Linked DNA regions of Drosophila melanogaster. The protein of the gene in region 4 interacts with the protein of the main gene of each other region in a pairwise test. Each region holds a gene or a part of one and is shown on either strand. Other genes may lie near its edges.

What was found.
Region 1: the proteins of Sp1 (region 4) and CG12391 interact in a two-hybrid assay, tested with the Drosophila melanogaster proteins (one large-scale study listed by BioGRID).
Region 2: the proteins of Sp1 (region 4) and CG7991 interact in a two-hybrid assay, tested with the Drosophila melanogaster proteins (one large-scale study listed by BioGRID).
Region 3: the proteins of Sp1 (region 4) and Pex23 interact in a two-hybrid assay, tested with the Drosophila melanogaster proteins (one large-scale study listed by BioGRID).

What each region holds. Positions count from the first base shown.
Region 1 is NT_033778.4:11,146,672-11,151,956, reverse strand, and holds CG12391 (uncharacterized protein), read left to right. Parts: upstream 1-1,888; 5' UTR 1,889-2,179; coding exon 2,180-2,356; intron 2,357-2,445; coding exon 2,446-4,032; 3' UTR 4,033-4,355; downstream 4,356-5,285. Other genes in the region: CG13231 (uncharacterized protein), read right to left, coding at 5,154-5,285.
Region 2 is NT_037436.4:1,672,656-1,677,896, forward strand, and holds the start of CG7991 (uncharacterized protein), read left to right. Parts: upstream 1-2,053; 5' UTR 2,054-2,466; coding exon 2,467-2,512; intron 2,513-5,241. Other genes in the region: CG13930 (uncharacterized protein), read right to left, coding at 1-50.
Region 3 is NT_037436.4:20,296,379-20,304,060, reverse strand, and holds Pex23 (peroxin 23), read left to right. Parts: upstream 1-1,919; 5' UTR 1,920-2,039; coding exon 2,040-3,104; exon of another isoform or gene 3,105-3,160; coding exon 3,161-4,563; intron 4,564-4,585; exon of another isoform or gene 4,586-4,651; intron 4,652-4,832; coding exon 4,833-5,096; intron 5,097-5,157; coding exon 5,158-5,857; intron 5,858-5,915; coding exon 5,916-6,497; intron 6,498-6,562; coding exon 6,563-6,601; 3' UTR 6,602-6,932; downstream 6,933-7,682. Other genes in the region: SCCRO4 (squamous cell carcinoma-related oncogene 4), read right to left, coding at 716-828; FRG1 (FSHD region gene 1), read left to right, coding at 7,161-7,219, 7,272-7,454, 7,519-7,682. UniProt on the Drosophila melanogaster protein: Involved in peroxisome biogenesis.
Region 4 is NC_004354.4:9,727,453-9,732,805, forward strand, and holds the start of Sp1 (Sp1), read left to right. Parts: upstream 1-2,195; 5' UTR 2,196-2,431; exon of another isoform or gene 2,432-2,847; 5' UTR 2,848-3,111; coding exon 3,112-3,225; intron 3,226-5,353.

The DNA.
Region 1 (5,285 bases), on a different chromosome or scaffold from region 4:
AAAAGATAGTTATTTGTACAAACATGCAATGTCAATGTTTAATTTTTTGAATATGAAATAAGATTAATTAGACTGATAGTTAATATAAAATGATAATTAAAATAGGCTTTTTTTCCGCGGAGTGATTGCCATTATATTATGTAACTGAACATTGGTTGTGCTGGCGGCATCTTTTCGTAATTGTCGTGTAACAGGTGAAAGGAATGTGGCTGCTGAAAAACACTCAATAGATAATTAAATGCTTATAATATGAGTTCGTTCTAATTATCACCACAATTAGAATGTATTCTATTATATGTTTTTGATGTGCCCTTTAATGTGCGCACGTGAACGCCAGTGGGTAGGTTGAAATCCATTCAAATCCTCGACGGGTTCAGGAATACATATAATATATATGTATGTACATATATATAGGCTTAAGCCTTCCCAAGGAGCATATGCTGCCTGTTTGTCTTTTGTGCATAATTAATCACTGAGTGACGCCGCCGGGAGTTGAATTGTGTTGTGCTGACATGGCCATGCTTTTTTATCACTGCCACAGTCTCCTGGCCGCTAAATTTATCTCTTTTCTAGGAGTCGCCTTCGCGTCCCTGTCCTTGCAACATCCGGCAACATAAGCGATTCCCTGCGAGTGGGTGGACGTGAAGGCGACCAGGAGGTGAAAAGCTCTAGCCGGTAAAACGATGTTAATGTCAAGTAGATCTCGGAGCACGTCTTGCTGCGATAATTGTTGGCGTAAATCATGTCGAAGAGCAACAGAATTACGTCCCAGACAGACACATACTATCCTTGTGGGCATATTGTACACGAAGAAATCAATGTGTCATACTCACACTTTTATCTTTAGCCCGAGGGTACTTCACATTAAAAGAGTGATTTCGATCAACTTTAAAAAGTAACTATAGAATAAAATTCTTATTGTTGGATCTGAAATTAAAGCAAGCGAAAAAATAATAATAATACAGCCAAAAAGATGCTCTAAAACAAAGAAATAAGTAAAGGACAGACAGAAAGATTTCATTAGTCCGAAATTTGTCATTAACTTATTACGTTTTAATTACTCAACTTATCACTTGATTGATTACTCAACTTATCACTTGATCTATTTGATAGAAGTATTTCAAGTTACTGCAACATTTTCTCGCAGTGTAGTGTCTGCGCTAATGGATTGTGTCCTTCGCAAAGTTCGGGCATTTCCGCGGACATTTCTCTTTGCGGCCACAGGACGTAATTGAAATAAATATTTTTCTGTAGTGTTCCCTTCAGAGCGGTGGAATATTTTTGAAGAGCCACTTTATTGAAATTTGTTTGCTTATTTGCATTTCTTGTACTGGGAATTGATTGAAATTGAAGAATGTAAACTCAAGTAATACGGGGTATTTGCCAACATTTAAGGCATGGAATTCTAAAAGCCAGATTAAGTGTTGTGGCAAAAGGAAAAACAAAGTGTTGCATGGTTGATGCTGGTTCATGTAAGAGGCATTACTCAAATTAATGCGCACAGCAGCGGGTGAAAAATTATGCAAATCACGTAATTTTTATTTCGCCGTGTTGAAAAGTCAAGACGACATGCTTTTTGTTTCAAACGGCTGCTTTTAAGGGGGGTGGCCTATGTATTGTGCCCACTTTTATTGCAAACACGCGCGTAGGTTTCCCTTTTGCAGACAGAAGGTGCATGTATTACTGACACTTTGCGCCTTCTCCTAAACTTTATTTCGGTTTTATTGTTTTAAGCTTTCGTTTTGGGCTGCTGAATTATGTTATTTGCGAGCATTCTTTAAATAACGAATTTCCTTTACTTTTCAAATTACGCGCCCGCTGTGCAACCCTGCGCACGTTATCGATTGCCAGTGGGCATGCGCACAACTATCGATTACCGATGACAAACAGCTGTGTACCTATACTTATCCAATATGGCTGCAAGTAAAAAAAATTGTAACGCTGTGAAAAAACTGCAATTTGAATTGCATTTTCCGCTTGAGTATTAGATAGAAAAGTGCGAGAAATGTGAATTTGTGCAAACGAAAGTGGAACACTATCCGAAAATCAAGTGCGCGCCAAGAAATCGAAGCGAAAAAGTGAATATCGAAAAAGTCGCCGGTGCCCCGCCAAAAAAAAGAAGACTCCCCCACTCCACTTGAAAACATTTCTCTGCGGAAATAAGGAAAATACTGCGAAAATGGAAGCCGACATAACGCCCCTGGCGGAAACCAACGGAGAGCAGCGCCAAAATCCCCAGGAAAGTGCTCAAAACCAAGAGCAACCGCAACCGCGGCAGGATTTGGCGGGCAAGTCGGTGGGTTCCGCTGATGATGGCGTCTCCGGAACTGTGGGACAGATTATGGATTACCTCGAGGTGCGCCCGGCTTTAAAAGACTTGGAAAAGCTTGTGAAACTCATACATATATATATATATATGTTTGTTTATTTTTATTTATATTATAGGACGATGCCGGTGCAACTGCCGACCAGGACGCGGAGATGGGCGAGGCAGAGTATCTGGATGGCGAGATGCCGCAGGAGGATGAGAGCGAGACTCCGCAAACGGAGAAAGCCAATGAAGGTTGCCAGGAATCAAGCAATAAGAAGGATTTGCAAGAATCTGCAGCTAAAGATGATTTTTCCAAGGAAAAAAGTGGAGAGGATGGTGAAAAAGACACCGACAAGGAGAAGAAGGCAACTCATTTACATGAAGATAACAACGATGATGCCGAAAAGGATGGCGACGAGGCCGACGCAGAGGATGAAGACGATGTAGAGAAGCCAGAAGATGAGGATGGCACCGAAGAAGGCGACGAGGCCATTGAAGAAGATGAGGACGCTCTCGATGAAGATGAGGATCCCAACGAAGAAGTCGAGGAAATTGAACCAGATTTCGAGACTGGCACCGATGCAGAAGGTGAACTAATCACTGGCGATGAGCCGGGCGATCTGGCCGATGTGCCCATTAGGGAGCGCAAGAAAGAGGAACCCGTGGACGAAGACCAGTGCCGCGTTTGCACCAGCAAGGAAGAGCTAGTCTGCCTGTTTAAGAAGCAAATCGATGCCACGCCCGCGGACATGCTGCTGGTCATCTGTCCTAATGTCTCGATTTTGCCCAAGGACTTTATGCCGCAATTCATATGCACCAAGTGCATGGGCAGCCTTACCATTGCCATACAGCTGAGAAAGCAGCTGGAGACCACGGACCAGGAGCTGCGCAAGCGTTTGTCCCGAAGCAAGAATAAAGTGCGAAGACCCCGCGGCTATGTGGTCATAGACGCACCTGTCACCGATTCCAGTGAGGATGAGGATGAGCTCGATGATGAGTTCAAGGTATCCGATGTAGCCGGAACCACGAGTGCCGACAGCGATTCTGCCGATTCGGATGACAGTGAGAAGGAGAAAAAGAAGCCCGGACCACGTGGGCGTCCTCGAAAAAAGCCACTCAAGAGAGGCACGGACAGCGATGGGGAGCCTTCCAGCGCCCAAAAGAAGAAATACCAGCCCTCTTCGACGGCTTCAGTGGGCCCATTCGAGTGTCCCAACTGCGACTTGACGTTCTCGCGCAAACAATCCTATGTGCTGCATCGTAAGACTCACGAGAGAATAGAGCATGCCTGTCCCATCTGCGGCAAGAAGTTCAAGGTGGAGTGGGCCTATAAAACGCACATGCAACGGCACGAGCAGGAGCGCGCCCATTTCCGCTGCGAGCTGTGCCCCAAGATATTCCGACTGCGCGCGGAACTGAAGCACCATATGGCCCAGCGACACGACGAGCATGGCTTCATTTACGAGTGCAAGCGCTGCCAGCGGACGTTCCTCACCCAGCAGCGACTGCAGCGTCACCAGGCCGTCGGTTGTCAGCGGCACAAGGAGGATAGCGTTCGCATCAAGGAGGAGCAGTCGCGGTTCAAGCAGGAGTCGCGCAGCAAGGACGACCGCCATCATGGCAACAACAGCAGCAAACGCCGTCCCGGCGAAGGACGGGATCTTTTCAAGGCTGTGGCCCCACCAACAACCACCTATTGGAGCGATAGCTTCTCGGACTAAAAAAACCAAGGTGCGGCGGCTTGCGGATTTCAATTCAATAATTTCTAATGAACGATTTTAAGTTTCTCTAGCTGTAGGAAGAATTCAGTGCAAATAAATCACATTTGTAATAAATACAAAATAACACTAGTGGAAGTTTTGAGTACATGTAAACTTCTCAAGCTAAGTAAGTAAGCGAAAAGGCAAAATAAAAAGTTCGATTAATGGCAGATTGGAAAATATTGACTTAGACGCTAAGATTTTCATTTGTTCCTAAGGACACCATTAGATTATAAATACTTCAAACATATAAGATTCGCTGTTAAAATAAACACTATGTTTGGAATAAGTGCGTCGTAACTTACATGGAGTGCGCTGCTCCTCAGTGACCCACAATGCTTTCCTTTTGAACCCCTTTTAATTGGATCCCAAAGCGTTTGCTCGCCAAATGGCAGCACTTAGTGCCGCCGAGCTAAAGAACAACCAACTGCAGTTCTGCACAATCTTGGCCATAATGTGGCGTTCTAATGTTTATAATTTCGCTTGTGGAGCATAACTAGGAGTGTTTAACTACTGGGGATTACTTTGGACCCAAGCTGGGGGTCTTTAGTGTAGACTTGCAGCATATATGTGCATAAGCGGAGCACTAAGTGTGGTTACTCACAACTTTCAGATCCGTGTACAATTCTTATCAGGTATTTCAGAAAGGTTTGGTAAGAAAAATGCTGTAGTACTTCAAGCAACTAATTTGGACCACAAAATTTGCACTTTTCCAAGAAAGTTTTACTCATGGCCGGAAGGAAAACGAACTGAGTTGCAACGTTTTAGTTATAATTTTAAACTGTAAGCCAATAAACTAAGTTATTTGTGTAAGCCTAATTTGTAAGCCGTAATTTATGCAAAATTGTTAAGCTTTTCTTTTGGGTTTCTGTGGGAAGTTTTGTTGTGATTGCAGTGAGTTTTTAGGGCTAAATTTAAAACTCTTTAAATTGAATTGAAGACACACGTTTGACTTTAACATTTATTTACATAGCAATCGGGAATTGTTTGGGCAGGAAATCTGATGCACGTGCGAATGTTTCGGCAATGCTGCTGCACTACAAAGGTGTCTAATTGATCCGCCGCTCCGTGTGCGTGCCTAATTAGAAGTGGTGGATGGAGTGGTAGGTGGGCAGGTGATAGGACACCGAAGACACCGGATGGTGGGCAATCAGCGGGGCATGGGCGATGAGTGGGGCATGCGATATGATTGGGGCATGATGCACCAGCGTGGG
Region 2 (5,241 bases), on a different chromosome or scaffold from region 4:
AGTTGCTCGAAGTCCGCGGTGCGGTAATCCTTCCTCAAAGGTCGCGACATCCTTCTCAATTAATTTGAATGAGCGCGTGCCGCCGATTTCCCAACTTGTTTACTGCGTGTGCAGACATGGCAACGCAACAATGGTGGATACAATATATGGGTGCCATAACTACCAAGTGCTGTAGTTGCACTCCGATTGCAACACGGAATTCCATTAGCAGGCTCACACATGACTGCACTCATTGCGTCCATAAATATTTATAACTCACATTTAAATCGCGCAACAAAAGTGCATAATAAGTGGGTTGGTAAGCAAAAACGTATATTTAAATATGAATGTAGTTCCAGTTGTGCAATGAAGATGAAGCCACCATAGTCTAACATCAATTTGGATCATTACCTTTAGTGATTCCAATAATTTGCGCGGCTTTCTGACCTGTCACAAGAAAAATCCCCCAACCGGAGAAAAGCAAAACAAACTATAAACTACAAAATACAAACTACAAACTACCAACAAATGAAATTCGTATTCATATTCCAATTAGACAGTAGAAGAATAGCAGACGGAAAATAGTTAGATGGTATATGGTAAAAAGGTCTTTAATTCCGCCACATAGCCGCATAGGAAATGGGCAAAAGATGGGATGAGGAGGAGCACTTGGCCATGTGGGCGATTGAGAGCAGCAAGCCGTGCAGCACACTGAACGAAAATAAGATCGGGTTAAGAATGAAATATGATTAGGTTAAGTGCTCACAGCAAAGAAATGTATCTACAGAGAAATTATTTCAACATGAATCCCAAACTATAAATATGACAATCTTAATTTGAAGATAGCTTGTAATAATCAAAGCGATTTTCCGTGTATAGAAGATATGGAAGTCGAAAAGAAGTTGTTTATGTTAATTTGGCTTTATGCTTCGCTACGCTGATTCGCTTGATGAACATATAGCAAAAAAGAGGGCTGATTATGAGGACGACGACGACGACGACGACGATGACGATGATGATGAGGGGGCCCAAACCGAGCGAATATGGCCAAGTGCACTATGTCAAACGGAGGGGCACACGGCAAGCGGGCAACTGATGGCCAAGAAGAACAAACCATCAAACCGTCAACGCATCAAAGCGTTAAGTAATAAATGTGCAGGCAGCCAGCGAAAAGAAAGAGTTAAGAGCAAAAAAAAAAAAACAAATCCAAGCGGGCTATAAACAATAGTCGCCTGTCTTGCAGGTTGCGTGCATTTTGAACTCTGCACGAGCCAACGATCGTTGTTGTTGGCCGATTTGGCCAGACTCTTGTTGTTGCTGTTACACATTTTGGGGGCAGCAACAACCACCTACAGTCAGCGAAATTCAGTGAACCGCCACCAACGCGACGCCAACTGCGACGCCGGCGGCGACTGCGCAGTCAGCGCCACACTGAATTACATCTTTGAGGTGTTGAAAAATATTAATAATATTTTAAAATTACACTTTAAGTTTAAGACTCAGTTCTGTGATAGCTTTTTAATGGACTAACCCAGCTTGTAAGCAAGCTGATACCACTGATGTAACTACCTTTTAACTCCAGCCAGTTGTTAGCCATGTTTGTCCAGTGTTTGTGAGATAATTAATAATTTTGTCGCCAGCCCGCAAGAAACGAGTCTGCGGAGTGGACCCTGTTTTGAAAAGTGAAATAAAACGCCACTTTTTACGAACATCTAATTGTGTCCGCACCCTGGAAACCCATAAAACGCGCCATCTCCATCTCGATCCAGCCCATGGGCTGGCTATTAGCCATATGTCGCTCGCATTCAGATCGTCTGGGCTTCTTACACCTGTTTTATGTCCCCACTGGCCCCAATGTGCGACGACTGCCCCTTTCGGAGCGTCGACTGCGCCGCCCGGCGTTTCGGTGTAACACATTTTCAGTTCGTTTCCATTGTGGCAGGGAGCGCGGAAGACCAGCGAGCCAGCGAGCCAGCGCGCCAGACGAGAAGAGCTGGCGGCAGAGCGAGCTCAAGTCGAGCTCGGAGGTTTTTTTTCGAGGCAGCGGAGCGACTTTTTATTCGTTAATTAACCGTCGAGCGGGCCAGAAGTCCGAGTTGCTCGGCTTAACGGAAGTGCTGAAATCGGGCGGCTAATTGAGCACACCTCGCCTCCAGTTGACACCTGAGACACCTGAGGGAAAAAACGAATTGAAACCACTCCACATAGCTCGGGTCATAACTTTCCTCGCTGGCCGGCTGCTAATGTCTCAATTTGTTGTGCGCGTTGGGCAAGTGCAGTTGCCATTCAGCCGTGGCTGTATCTGAAAGATACAATTCGGGAGAGCTCGGTTCCTGAGTGATTCGAAGTTTATGCTAATCAGCTGTGTTGCTCCGCGAGAGGGATCATTTCGCCATAGACCCACACCCGCATAGCCAGTGATCACATAACGAAATAACGAAACCAATCAGCAGACGATCTTATCAGCGCCAAAAGAGGAGGAACACAATGTTGTTTTGGAAGAGGCGTCTTCAGCGATCGAGCAGCTCTTCGAGTAAGTCCCCGTTTCTATATGGCCAAGTTTGTGGGAATGGTGGTAATGGGGGACGGGGGACGGGACCACGCCTCCAACGATTGGGCAACAAGAAATATGATTTCGCCGGGCAGGTGAATTTCGATTTTCGGTCCAGTGACAAGCTCGAATATTTTGGCCTCGACTCATCTGCATAATTTGCATCTTAAGCATTATTTCTGGCTGTGCCCAGCGACTGGTTTATTGATTTTATTTCAGTGCTTCCCTGGCCAAGATCGTAAATTCACCCCGCTGGGCTTCATCACCCACAAAAGACTTGGACAAATACAAATGGGAGCGCGAGCCACGCGGGACATGAATAATAGCTCATATCTGGCCATCGAAATTCTCGCCGAGGTGTTCCCTTTGTGGATGACGATTGCCCAGAGATTTATGAATGGATTTAATGTGTTTAGCATAATTATGCAGATCGCCGTGTAGAAGATAATATCTCACTAGGTTTGGTTTCAAGCGTAAACACTTGGGATGGAAGTGGAAAGATTTGACACATTCACGATCAGTCGGATAAAGATTTGATGGTCTTAAGGGGCTTGGGAAGAATGGGTTTACTAACCAATATGATTATAGTGTGGTCAACACATTGTACCCTAATCCCCCACTTGAATCCCTCTCCTTCCTTTGAAAACCCATGGCCCGCAGTCAGGTGTCATAACAGATTTGTCCCGATGGCCAACAAGGTGGCCAACTGCTATCGAGCATCGCATTGAAAACTGTCCCTTTTCCCCACATTCCTGTGGTTACTCTTCGTCTTCTCCCATCCCATCCCATCTGCTCCATAACTTTCCAACCAAGTGCCGACTATGTGTCTCATTCGCTGTATCTCAGTTCTGAGCTCTCGGGGTTTATTTGGGATCAAAAACATGACTTTGACTTGTGGTAATGTGATGTTAATGACAATCATCAGCAGCGACACAAGCAATAACAACGCAGGCAGAACGAGGAGGAGCAGGAGTAGGAGTAGGTGACATCCACACCACCGCCACATGAAAGCAGTAGTCCCAGTAGTGGGTAGCCCCGCCTCCTGAGCCGCGGAGCACGCCTAACACGATTCCGGAGATCGGACATCTCTGCCAGCGACATTTATTTTATGTGCGTTCCGTTCCCGAAAGTCGTGGCCCATAATCGGCTTACCCAGAGTTCTTGGCTCTACCATACCGCAGTTGACACTTCTGGCTATTTGGTTCGCTTAGTTCGTGCCCGGAGTCTTCTGTTTTTATAGAAGCTGCCCATCAAGTTGCAGGTTTAATGGTCGCTTGTGGCCCAGTGCCGCATCGAAAAATGAGTTCGGCGTTTTGTTGTGACATTTTAATGGCCTGACCGAGCTCCATTCCCCACCGCCGAGATGGTTATCAATATTACAAAATAGTTTTCGGCTTTCGGTGGAAGCGTGCTGGATGGGATTGGAATGGTAAACAGTGTCTGGAGAATTATCTGAAACCTAAGACGATGAGCAAGGTGGAACAATTTAAATTACCATAAATCAAAACCCACAGATATACTGTGTAAGAAGTGTAGAAACATAAGTTCCAATTGAGAGTTTCTCACCGAGTTTAGTCGAGCTCTATTTGGGGCACTCCATTTGCAAGTGGCTTAATTCCCATAAATTCCGTTTGTAGATCTTTCACTTGACCGGACTGCGTCCCCCTTTGAGACCCACTTAGCCCACATCTTTGGGTCAGTCCTACACTTTCCGCGCATTCCACGAGCTCGGACCTCGAAAATTGTCTGCAAATTGCTCATAAATTACATGAAAACCGTCGCAATGCCAAAAGCTGCACCTACACCATCATTATCAGCTTGTAAATAAAAAGACTTTATCAATCGTTAAGCCGCGGGCGCAGACTCGCCATCCGGAGCCCGCGTCCGGGATCCAAGATCTCACCTCATAACATAACATAAAAGTCGTCCGGGTGGAAGGAGATGAGATGAAGATGGAGCGAAGGTGGATGCCCATTCCCATTCCCAATCCCATTCCCATCCTCATTCCAGGGCAAAACCCTGGCTCCGCTGCGGTCAAGTACAAATATTTTTATTTATGATTTTACAGATCAGCATATTGCTCAATAATTTCACCGCACCGGCAACAAAATAACTTTCAAATTACGCCTGCCGAGGATCCTCGCTTAAGTGCGCCAATTTTGAGATTATTATTGCCGGCTGCGTATGCAGATAATCGTGACCCAAAGTGCAGGAGGATGGGGTGCCCATAACTCAGCCGGTTCAGCTGGGAATCGGGAATGAGCTGGAATGATCCTCGACCAGCAAGGACTAGTGGATTGAAGCTGGTCAGCCACCGATTTAATTACTCTATTTGGCTAGTTTTTTGGGGTCGAATTTAGGTTGTCTGCGCTAGTTGGGATCTGGATTTGGATCTGGATGTGGAGTATTTGGGGCAGCTTAATATTTTCCCATAAATTACTCGGGGCCAGGAGAAAATTACTTTAAAATTTATGGCCCCGGCATCTTACACGCTGATTTGGCCCTTTTATTTTCGGCTGGCCGTTTGGTTTCTTTCTCTGGCCATCGAGCATCGAGCACTGGCTGCGAGGATCTGGGAACAGGTCGTGGCGGCGATGCCCCCACCGCAGTGATATCCGCGTTCCGAGGGGGCGGTCCCCTGGAAAGTTCGCACGATTGATGATCGACTGCGAGTCGCAGTTGCCGAGCTCCAGATTCACTGGGCTCCCTGG
Region 3 (7,682 bases), on a different chromosome or scaffold from region 4:
ATAGAGTAACTTCTACAGCTTTTGTTTATAATTAGTATTAATGAGTTTAATTAAAATGGAAATAAATACTGATGCCTGCTGAAAAATATGGGATTTTAATGGACCGTTTTTACTAATGGCACCACGCGCAACGATGGAATCGATTGGTAACTTAATTTTATAAATTAAATTACATTGTTGGATGGATTTAATAATTGGACTGTGTTAAATAATATCTATATTCAGCTAAAAAAAACTTTTTTTTTTTAATATCGGCAGAGACTAATAATTTTTGCCTTTGAATGCCTTTCGATTTTGCCACAGATTTTGATTAATGTTGAGATAACATAATAATAATTATAACTTGGATAAGAACATTATTGGATACAACACAAGACGGGTGAATAATAGGATGATTATTGTGAATCTATGAATAGAGCAAGTGAATCAATTTTCATTTTACAGAAATGCCAGTATTTGTTTTTTTTTTATGAAAAGTATATAAACCATGAAACCAAATCGTCGCGAAGATGTGAATATGAAAATGATAACGTATTAATTAATAAAATAACAAATTCTTCAGTGCCAGGTGTGGGTAAATCTGGCCGTTCCATTGAAATATATCAGGCATCAATGGCTTAGGAATCTCTACACCGGAAACCAGATGCTTTTCCCCGGAACAGATGATACAACACCAAAGGGCCTTTGTTCTTGTTTCCTATTTTCCACCACTCACCTGCTGCTCTGTTGTGTGGGTATGCTGGTGTAGCTGGTTCGGGCCCTCTTCGGTTGACCATGATCCATGTTGTCGCTAATAGTATCTGCAGCTCGGCGTTTTCCCCGTGGCATGACTTATTGTGATGTGTTTTCCAGAGTCAGTCCGTTCCGTCCGTCGGATTTGAGTTTTGCTGTGAATAGCACACTTAGTTCATTCGCTATTAGCGAAAATGTTTGAATTGCACTTACCGCAATGTTTCCCAATATGACCAGTTTACTTTAGCTCCGAAGTAGTTATCTGTGGGGTATGAAAGAATCCGGTTAAAATGGAGCCTCAATCACTTGGTGGTATGATATTTTTAGGGGAGTTTTTCGGGCAGACCGACCACCCCCGATACGCGGATGCAGCGAAGAGGTTTCACGGGATGCACAGGACATCGCGGTATACATATAGTGGCTATAGTATATATATGGTCGATATATGTGTGTCTACCAGATGAACGTTTGTACTCTGTAGGCGTGCGTACATATGTTTTACTACACCAGAGCACGAAATACCGGCTGCTGGAAGGGCCTCGGTCTCGACTCGGTTCGCAATACCGGGACTACGGACCGGGGAGCACGGCCATTACGGGGGATTGGTCCGTGGTCGGCCTCCGGGAGCCACAGCCAGCAGCTGATACGACCGACCGACCGTCTGGCCTGCGCGTGCTCGCTTTTCTGCGTCGAACGTCGCAACGCCGAGGGGCTCAGTTTACGGCTTTCCTTTTTAACTGCGACCGGTAAATGGATCTTAAACTGGGTGCGCTCGGTTAAAGGGATCCGCCCGTGCAGTTAGGGGAAAGAACGGTTCAATTTTTACCATATTTTTCAAAATCAATCAAAATTTCTTGGCGTCAATTAGAGCTGGGTTGGCCACTCGCGATAGTATCGATACATTTAACACTGATGGGGGCAAGGACTATCGGTGTCTTGGATTTGATAGACCCTGGTTTGCGAAATTTAACGGCACTATAGAATTAACAGGGCTGTCGCATTTCCTTGGAATTACTTATTACACATTCTTGTTAACACATAATTTTCTGACATGCTTTATTTTAAACGGGCTTCGAAATAAACAACAATTTTAAGATATAAAAATAAAATATTAAACATTTGCATTTTGGCTGTTTTTAGTGGAAACACAACAACCACAACGATACTATCGCTTAGGACTCGGAAAACAGGTGTGCCATCACTGACTGTCTAGGTCTATTCTTCAGAAAAATCAATTTTTCCAATTTGATTGTAAACACGATGCCAGACAGAAAGAGGCCCCTTGGTCTTTAGTAATAGATCTCAGGATGCCGAGCTTCTACCTATTCGCCGCCAGCAGTGAAGGGCGCGTCTACACGCTGTCCACCAACTCCGGAGCGTGGCGCGAACTTCCCTATCTGGGATTGGAGTTCAAGAAGATCTGCGCTGTGCCCAACTTTTTGTGGGCCATTGGCGGCGACCGCCAGGTGTACGTTCATGTGCACGGTCTGGACGTGCCCATTCGGATTCGGGAGGAGTCGTACGAGAACGAGCGCTGGCTGCCCATCGAAGGATTTTCGAAGACGCTGCTGCCCACTGATCGGTACAGATATTCCTCCGCCGATGGCAGTGTGGAGCGTGGTGTGGACAAAATCCGACTGCCCTCGATGGCGTGGCAATGGGACGGCGACTGGCACCTGGACTTAGAGCTCGATGGACAGCCGCTGACCGAGGATGGCTGGATGTACGCCCTGGACTTTCCGGCCACGTACTCGGCAAAGAAGTCTTGGAACTCGTATGTGCGACGACGCAAGTGGGTGAGATATAGGAGGTATGCAGCCTTGAATAGCTGGTGCGCGGTGGCACCACTACACAAGGATCCCACGCAGGAGCCCTTCATAGACGTGGCTATAGGCGGCACTTGTGTTCCCAACGCTCCTGCCGGCACTTTGTGTGTCTGGGCCATTACCGCCCATGGCAGGGCTATGTTTCGCACGGGGGTGTCCAAAACGGCGCCCGAGGGTCTTCGCTGGACAGCTGTACCCACGCCCACGGGCAGTGAACTCGCGCAGATCAGCGTGGGACCCACAGGATTGGTATGGGCGGTACTCCATAACGGCCGAGTTATCGTACGTACTGGTGTAACCAGAGACAACCTAGTCGGTGACTCGTGGTTGGATGTCAAAACCCCCGTGGCCGCCAGTAGCTTGCGCATTGTTCACGTTTCCGTGGGCACCGATGCTGTGTGGTGTGTAACCAATGATCATCACGCCTGGTTCAGGAGAGGCGTCAAGGGTGAAGCAGCGGGCATAAGCGAGGATTCGGCCATTGGCAAGGGCTGGGTGGAAATGGTGGGAAACATTTCAATGGTCTCTGTGGCGGCCAACGATCAGGTAAACCAGTGTTAGATCTACCCAATTATCTTAGATATGAACATACTCTTTCGCAGGTCTTTGCCATTGGAGCCGCTGACCGTTGTTTGTACCACCGCTCTGGGGTGACCTCTGCCGACCCTACTGGCAAAAAATGGCGTTTAATTCAATGTCCCATGCAAATCAGCCGCACTTCTAGCTCTCTATCCATAGTCTCTCGTAAAAGCGGCGGAAGTAGTTCAACGCCAGGCTCAAAGCACCAGAGCTTCTCCAATTTGTACTCCAAGGAGAAGGAGAAGGGTGTGGTAGAGACGTGTGCAGTTATAGAAACTGTGCTCAACAGCTCTACGGGCTCCTGCTCTAGTAATGGCGGTCCACCTGGTCTTCTTAAGAACGAACGTTGGAAACTCAGTGCCGATTCACCTCCGACAATTGGAAGTCTGAATCTCAACGATCGCCACAAGCAGAGAACGGCGGCGCTTCGCGAAACTTCACATGCTTCCAGTGCTCCCGCAGCGGATGTGGTGGAGGTGGTAACTGGCAAGTTTGAGACCCAGCTGAGGAATCCAAGAGCTTGGTCTCCCGTCCGAAGTGTTGGGTCCGTCGTGGGCACTGAAGCGCATCCAGAGAGCGATTCGACCGTGTTTGAGTCGGACTCCACGCACCATGGATCGGATGTGTTTCTGGGAGAAGATGACGACCATACGGGATCACAATTTTGGACAGAATGCGGGATACTATGGAGCTGCGTAGCTTCAGGTGCTGTGACTGTGGATGCCAGCAACATGCCCAATTGGTTTAACGAGCAGACGAGCGACAGTAAAGTGGACGTGAATGCCAATTGGCGAAAGGATATTGTGAACAAGTTGCAGCGACGTCAGGAGAAACTGGCCAAGCTTCAGACTGTGGCCAAGTTCGAGAAGGCAGTGGAGCTTTCTTCGTGGGTCAAATCGGCGGATGCGCGCTATCAGCGACCTGGAGGCGAGTTTGAGGATTGTATCATCGAACTTGAGTGGGTAAGCAGTGGCAGTGGCACTGACACAAATAGTAGTGAAAACTCGCGATCCGGGGACTCTGGAACTTTTACGGTACTTAGTCCGGATGGAGCCGCCACGAAGATTCAGTTCCCGTTGTCAGACATCACCTGTGTTCAGTGCTGCAGTGAAGCCGGAGCACCGCGGATCGCTATTCATGCTCCTCATCTTCCCGTAAACTGTTCGCCCGTTAAGCTACAGTTCTCCAGTGACTCGGAAATGGAGGACTGGTTGTCCCACCTGTCGTCAGTCTGTAGCCAGATCAACACTATGGTGGGAAAACCGGCTGGCAATGCGATCTGGATAACCAGCGAGTTGGGCGATGTCTTTGTGTTTGATCCCGCCAACATGAAGGCACATCAGACAAGTGAACCCAGCGAGGGATACGTGGAGAAGATGGATGTTTCCACTTGCGAAACTCCATACTACAATACTCTTTACAATGGGTAAGTGGGCTTAAAAACTTACCTGTCGGTCGAAGATTCTATTAAAATTTATGTGGTAGGATTGTTTTGTGAAGTATGTAGGTATTATATTGTTTAAACTGCTATGATAGAAAAATATTTTTGAGTGATGGATAAATCTAGCGCTGGAGTTTTGTTGAATTCAAATTGTTCAATTTATCCAAGCAGGCAATTTACCAGAAGCTTCGTATTCCATTTAATTCTAAAAGCTTAATTTTTTAATAATTACCTCCTGTATATGTTAATTTCAGAATGCCATGTGGTACTGAGCTAGAGATATCTGGCTGTGTGTACGATGACGCTGATCAGATTCGTTTCGACTTGCAGTCGCATTCTGCAGTAAAAGTTCAGCCTCATCGCGTGGAGAAGCATCGGGTCATTGCTCTGCACCTGAATCCCCGTTTCAACGAACGCACCACGGTGCTCAACTCGATGAAGGAGTCCGAATGGCTGGACGAGATTCGCAATGACAAAATGGCCTTTGCTCCCGGAGCAACTTTTTCGTTGAAAATAAGGTAGGAATAGAATCCTGGGAATGAAATCGAATGCCTAATACATACTTGAATATCCTTACAGGGCTCTGCAAGATCACTACTTGATCATCGTGAACAATGCCGTATATACCGACTACAAGTACCGCATCGATCCGGAAAGCGTGACGCGGCTTTATGTGAGTGGCCGTATTAAGCTTTTCAATGTACTCTACCGCTGCCCCTCCCTAATTGTCTCAATGGAGCGCATGCACTGGCGCCAAATGGGCGGTCACATTAAGAGGATTTTCAACAGCGGCGTGGATGTGGTGTGGGGCATATCCTGTGACAACACTGGCTGGGTTTACAACGGAGGCTGGGGAGGAATGTTCCTAAAGGGCTTGGAGGGGTCCGGCAAAATTAACCCAATGATTGACACACACACCTACTATGTGTACGAAAATCAACGTTGGAATCCAATCAGTGGTTTCACGGCGAAGAGCCTGCCGACGGATCGGCACATGTGGAGCGATGCTACTGGGCGGCAGAAGCGGAGCAAGGAGCACACCAAGCTGCTGTCTACGCACTGCGAATGGATCTCCGATTGGGCCATTGACTACAACATTCCTGGGGGCGCGGACAAGGAGGGCTGGCAATACGCCATCGACTTCCCCGCCAACTACCATGCTCACAAAAAACTCACAGATTGCGTGCGTCGACGAAGATGGATGAAGCGATGTCGTCTTAGCAGCAGCGGACCATGGCAGGAGCTTAGTCAGTCCAAAATCCTTGATGCTGCCCTGCAGGTATGGTTCTACTTAAAAAATTCTCAACATGGTTGTTTTTTAAACATTTTCCTACTAGGTATTGGATGAAGATGTGGATCACAGCTGTTCGGGTGAGAGAAACACAGCAGTGGCTGCCTGGGCGATTGCCTCCAATGGTGATGTCCTCATCCGGCATGGTGTATGCAGCTTAAACCCTCGTGGCGATGCCTGGGAGCACATAACCAGCGACCAGCCGTTAGTTGGGATCAGCGTGGGGCCCACAGGTCAGGTGTGGACTGTGGCGCGCAACGGCATGGTGTTCTTCCGGTATGGCATCAGCAGGCAGAATCCGTGCGGCGATGCCTGGCAACAAGTGGAGGCACCCGCGGGTGTGACCTTTAAAGCGATAAGCGTGGGTCGGGCTGGGATTTGGGCGCTGGACAACCAGCAACGTTTGGCTGTGCGTAAGGAGATTTCGAGGACTTTCCCTGAGGGCTCCCACTGGCAGTTTCTGCCCAATGCCGCCAATGTGCCACCGCACACGGATCAGCATTGTGGCTTCCGCTCGGTGTCCGTGGGCTCCGAGGTGTGGGCCATCTCCCTCAATGGTATCATTTGCAGGCGCTGCGGAATTACAGAGGAAAATCCTGCAGGCGTAGGATGGAACCTTGGCATTGCGGTATGCAATCTAAACATTGGGTTGGTTGAATTTATAATTAAAAAAAAATACCCTCTCCATTTCAGGGCCAATGGCAAAATGTCTCTGTCGAAGGATATATGTGATGGAGTTGAATACTTTATTTGTGCATTCCTATTTACTTACGGACGATCCTGTTTGTTGTATTTATTCATATTTACAAGCTTATATGTGACCATGCCAACGCTTTTTCCAAAGTATATGAAAATAAGATGTTTCCTATTTAAGCTATTTGAAACGTATTATTTACACATATTTATTTATAATTTATAATAATAATTTATAAAAGTATGTATCTAAGTCAAATGTTTAGTTTAAGTCTTTTGTTTAGTTTAACAAATCCAGCAGCCGTGATTGTATTTCCTTTTTGTAAGCAAATATATAATGAATTACGAGAATAAATATATGTATGTGATGAAAGATGAAATATGTCTTATCTCTCACAGATCAAAAATCATTTGATTTTAATTTTTTTACCAAGTTAATGAATGGTTTGAGTCCGTACTTTTTAAAATGTACGCTTACAGTATTTTATTGGTAAGATATCGATAGCCGATAGACCAGCTCATCTGCGATGTTGTATCGCATGTTTGTTTATTGTGTTGTAAACCAAAACTATATCAACAATTTACCTATTTTGTGACGATGTCAGACTACGATCATGCACGCATTAAGAAATTGGTTCTAAAAGGCGAGAAACTCAAGTATGTAACTACAAATCTGCCAATAGCATCAATTGAAATTCTCGATTTGTAGAAAGAGCAAAAAACGCAAGAAGGAAAAGGATGAGGCTGGATCTTCCAAAAAGGCCAAGGTAGTAGTGGATGAGGATGCCGTGAAGCACGGCGGTTGGTGGGCAGCAAAGACAGCGGCCGACATCACCGGTACAGTGTCCATAGAGTTTGGCGATAGGAGTTACCTAAAGGCCATGGACAATGGGTAATAGTGAAAAAGATCTGCCCATTGGTACTTTAATTATACCGGGTGTCCATTAACATTTTAGTCTCTTCACATTGGGAGCACCACACAACGCTGGCGATGGCCCAGATCCCGAGGAGATTTTCACGGCTTTTCCCATCAACGACCGAAAGGTAGCGTTTAAGTCTGGCTATGGCAAGTACTTGAAAATTGAGAAGGATGGAATGGTCACGGGGCGCTCCGAAGCAG
Region 4 (5,353 bases):
CAGACCACCCTCGGCGGGCGGAAAAGAGACAGGTAGTGGCGGTGAGACAGAGCGATGTAGTGCAGAAAGCTGATTCGCCGTACAAATATCAGTGAAAGAGATGAAAACCCACAGTTTTCCACAGGCAGGGGACTGGTGGAAAATGTAGTGGGGAAAAGCGGGAATGCCGTCGTGCAATCAGTCAGCGTTATCAGTTTGCCCAGCTGATGAGGTCCAACCGCAATTCCATGGCCATGAGGAGTCAGGAAGTGGCTTGGCCTTGCCTGCGACTTTGGGCACACCCCTTCGACCCACCCACTCCGCCGAAACACCCACCCACCCAACGCCACCACTTAATGTGTTGCATTTGTCCTGCAGCACGGTCGTGATTCGAAGTTGGGCAGCACTACAGGTCACTGTAAGAAACAGGAATTGGAAAGCAATAGTTATCGCTTAAAACACCGGAAAAGTTAAAGTCAAATATTTCTTGTATTTTTATTTATCTTTTATTTATAATCATATTGAAAATTAAAACTAATAATAGGTGTTGGTTATCTTTAAAATTGATTTCATTATCAAGTTATTATGCTCGATACGTGCATACTGATTGGCACAAGGCCCACTTTTCCTCAATTTTCCCGCTGTGCAGAGAATTTCCCGCGGCCAGGCAACTTGTGCTGGGCACACTTCCACATCTCTACTGCCACATCATCCACCTCCATCGACAGTCCGTTGCTGGTTTTTGGACTTTTCAGCTTTTCTCACAGGGGCTGGCGTTTTTCGGCTGCCTGGGCGTTTTGTTTGCATAGAAAGGCCGGAGGGGTGGGGCGGCGAGAGGCGGGGCGGTACAGGGGGTGTGGTTCAATTAGCCCGCTTCTCAGCTGCAGCCCTGAAATGCAACAGCTCGACCGGCAGCTTCCAGCTGTGGGAGGCCCAACTGGCACGGGTTAATCTGGATTGGGTTCCGAATAATCACGACTTCTCGGGATCTTCCAAATCAGAGTCTAAGTACATATGTACATTGTTTTTAGTTTTCCTAAAATATTACTAAAATAACATGCTATGTAATCTTACAAATACTTTGAATTTCGTGAATTTTCTGAAACAGAATTTTCAAATGTGTCAGATAAATTCCAATTGTTAAACCCTTTTCTGCAGCCTTACATCCGGTGAAATCTTCCAAGTATTTGTTATGATTTTCGAACATTCTTAACTATCTATATATATTTAGCAATATTTTCCATTTCTAAACGCTGTGATAAAACCACACCTGGATTTATTTTGCTCAAGCTAAGACCATTTAAAGTCGCAATTTCCAGAGTTAGTCTACTTTTGGGGGCAAAGCTGTTGCAATCTAAGTTTCGCTGGTCTTTTCCAAATTTCCTTTTCTTTAATTTAGTCGTTTTCGAGGTAAAAACACGACCATTTCCCCGCAAAACTCCCTTTCGCTGCGACCGATAGTAACGAAAAGTCGAAATGGAAAACAATTTGTCATCTTGCGTGGATTTTCATTTCTATTCTCATACATATATTTCGTATACCCTTTTGTTTTTCCTACGATTTTCAGCTATCCAGTTCTGGGAAAACAACATTGGCGAACATTTAATTGAACGCAATAGTAGTTGTTGCCGTGTGTGCATTTGTTTTCAGTTTTTAACGCAGGCACGCGATGAAAGAGAGGGCCGCAGGACTGTCGAAAGAGACGGCACGAGGGGCACGTGTCCGTGTGCGTGCCATCTCGCTCGCACAGCGGCCATCGCTCTAATTATAGGTTAGGCCCGTCCGATCTGCCATTGGCCAAAGCGTTCATATAGAGGGGGCTGTGCTCTGGGAACTGGTTTTACCCAAAGCAGCCGGGGTTTTTATGAATGAAACTGGAAGGGAAAGGCGCACACACCACCAAAATACGAATACACGAATGCATATATATATATATATATATATCTTTACCCCTGGCACCCATTCGCACCACTCTAGAGAGTGGTGTGTGTTGTTTTATATTTTGTTGTTGCTGTTGTTTTTGGATTGTCTGTACGAGCGTCTCGCTTGCACTGATGGCATCGTTGGCCCCCACGTTGAATTTTGGTTAGTTGGAGTGAATTTACGACTGTGTGCTATCTCACTCGCACCGCTGCGGCAGCTACGCCGGCAGCGGCAGCGACTGTGGCAGCGTTGGTGGCAGCGGCGACATTTAGACAAGCTTTTTGTTCGCGTGAAACAGTTGCAAGCCTTTGAACGATCAGCGACGACGGCGTTACTTTTGGCGCGGATACAGCAGCGACACTTTTTTTTCGTTGGCAGGCGCCTCCTGTCACCAAACAAACAAATAAATAAACAAATAAACATAAAAACAAACAAGCAAATAAATAAACAATAAACCAACAAGCAAACAAACAAACATAAACAAGCCAACAAGCAGCCAAGCTAAACAAAACAACTGTGTGCATTTTTGGTTCGAGTTTCCTTTAATTTCCATCGCTTATATTTCATTTTTTTTTTGCCTGTGTTCCTTAGAAAAGAAGTCTATAAAGAATAAAAAAAATAAAAAAAAAATTAAGCCCATATATAGGCACAAAATCCCAGTGACAATAAGAGCAGTCAAACATTGCAACTCTCAGCAGCAAACATCAGCCGACGGCCGAGTGAAGAAAAGTGCAACGCCGACGGACTCGAGAAAAGATACAGATACAGATACGGATTATACATATCTGGGCTATTAGCTGGGCCATAATCTGCTCTCAAGCGATTTAGCCCACTTTGCTTTTTTTCTGAGTGCGTGTGTGCTTGTGCTGTGCTGTGCTGTGCTGTGCTGTGCTTGCCAATCCATTTGTCCATGTCCTTTACATCTTTTTTCCCTTACTCTCCAAGATCAGTGAGCCTGGCCTGCAACAATAGTCGCAACAAAGAAAAAAGTAGTTGAGTTGAGCAAGAAGAAAAGAATAGAAAATCGAACCCTAAACCCAAGTGGCCGCAAAACAAAGCAGAAGCAAAACAGACAGCATCATTGTGCGCCTCAAATTGACATCAGCAGCAGCAGCAGCAGCCGCAGCAGCAACGACAACTGCCACTGCCACTGCAGCAGCAGCAACATCAGCAGCAGCAGGAGACGCAGCAGGAACATCCACAGCAACCATGTTAACGGACATGACACCGACCGCCGGTCAGCTCTACGGATCCCAGATTCCGGCCATGGGCATGAACATCAGCAATATCGCCACACACTTGCAGAAGCCACAAGTTAATCCGGTAAGCCGAAATCTCAAATCCCAAATCCGAAGATACCAAAACCGCACCTCGAGATATGTATCTGCAAGATAGGTCACTACAGATACGATTTGGTCAGAGCGTTCTTATCGAAGTGTATCTTTCTTTTAACACTGGGCCTCAATTATGCACACTTACCGTCACTTTACACACAATTGCCATCCATCGAATAGAAAACTATCGACAGCATAGCCCAAAAGTAGTAGATTCTATTATACAGATACAATTACAGGGTGTAGAGATACAAATGTATCAATCTGTATAAGAAATTATAAAATTATGCCAATTATGGTGACCATTACTTTAGATACAATTGTCATGTCAGAAAGTTAATATTTGTAATATACAGAATTACAAGCATAATTGGGTCTTAATCAACTGTTCTAGAAAAACTAGTGTTTTTTGCACCCAAAAACGAAAAATGCCAATGTACTAAGAGCAATTTATTACACCCACTATTCGCTTCGCTAAACATTTCATAGTTATCGCTGCAGAGTTTAGCCCGAAAGTATCTCATAGATACATATGTGGGCTCACTGCGCACAAGTGACTGGCAGGCATTTGCTGACTTAGTCATGATTTGATGAATGCCTCCCGCAGACACTCGTGCACTTCGACATAAATCATTCGCGCAGAGAAGTCAAGAAGTTACTTTACGGCAAGTATTTCTGTATCTCACAGTTGCGGCTGCCAAATCCTTACCAATTGTCGCTTATAAAATATATGTACATACGTACAGTAATCGGACAAATCAGCCACTTACACGGCATTAGCATTGACAATAAACAGCCATAAACAAACAATGACAACAGACGCCGCGGATTTCGATTTGTATTCAGTTACGGATACGATTTCGCATCCGAGGAATTCACAGTAGCGCACACCTTTTGTCAGCCGCTCAGCTGGATTCCTTTTGTGAGGCGATGATGATTGGAACTCATCGGGATTGTTTGGTAGTATCTAATGCCGGGGAACGGGATACAAATCGATTGGACGCGGCTTGTTCAGCCCCGGATTTTTTCACTGTTTTCTGTGTGCCAACGGATTTCACGGTATGCGCCGCAGATACATAGCTGCAGATACAGATACTATTGATAGGCTGAGATACTGAGGTACCAGGTAGGCGCCGTTTGCCGTTTCTCGTTTCTCGCTCTCAAAATCAATTATTCAGGCTCACTTGAGGTGTGAAGCTAACGATGGAATCATTCCTGGGTCTACTTAAAATCTTTTTTTGTTGTTTTTTTTTTTTGTTTCATTTGGGGTTTTGGCAAATCTGTAGAGATCGTATTTCCACGCTGACTTTTCGACTCGTATCGCTTATCGCACAGCGGAAGCAAACACTTAAAGGCTAAAACGCATCAGGCAGCCGTTCATAATGATCTTTTGGCCCCGATCCAAAATTCGCTCATCAATCTCGTCCGGCCTTTGATCTGGACCGAAAAACTAAGACAGATTTCCGCTAATGATCGTTTTTGTACGGCTCCTCCGGGCTTTTGCTCTCGATTTCAATTCGAATTTCAGTTAGCTGATTATGCAAGTCCATCGTGCTGGCCCACATCATATGATATTGGTTCAAAACCCTGTAATTCACAGCAAAAGGTCAGCGGCTAGATCAGTTGGCTAAAAATAATTTGTTAAATTCCCCAAATGAAAACTTTGATGTCAATGCTAGAAGTCATTAAAATCAGAATCAGGGTTTGTAAAGTATTTAAAGAAGAATATAGTGTGTTCTAAAGTGTATACTTTAAAAGTTTAGCCAAACGAATAATTAAATAAATAAATTAGGGTTGATTGTACTTTAGATATACTATCTCTGTTCTGAAGGATTAGCCCGAATCGCATGACACTTTTAATAGAGTCAGCAACGCCAAATGGACGCAATGTGATTGAGGCACTTTCAATCTGCTGCCCCTGGCCACCACCTGCCCCTCCCCCCTCCCTCCTTTCCAACGTTCATTTTTCTCCGATTTTTTCACCTTTTTTTTTTTTGTCGAACCAAAGTGCAGACGCCACGCAATTGCGTGTGCCCATAAAAAAAAAAATGTATTTGCCAAGAACCGCAGAACGAAACGAGCTGGCTGCTATAAACTGGCCTGGTCTCTTGGTCTTT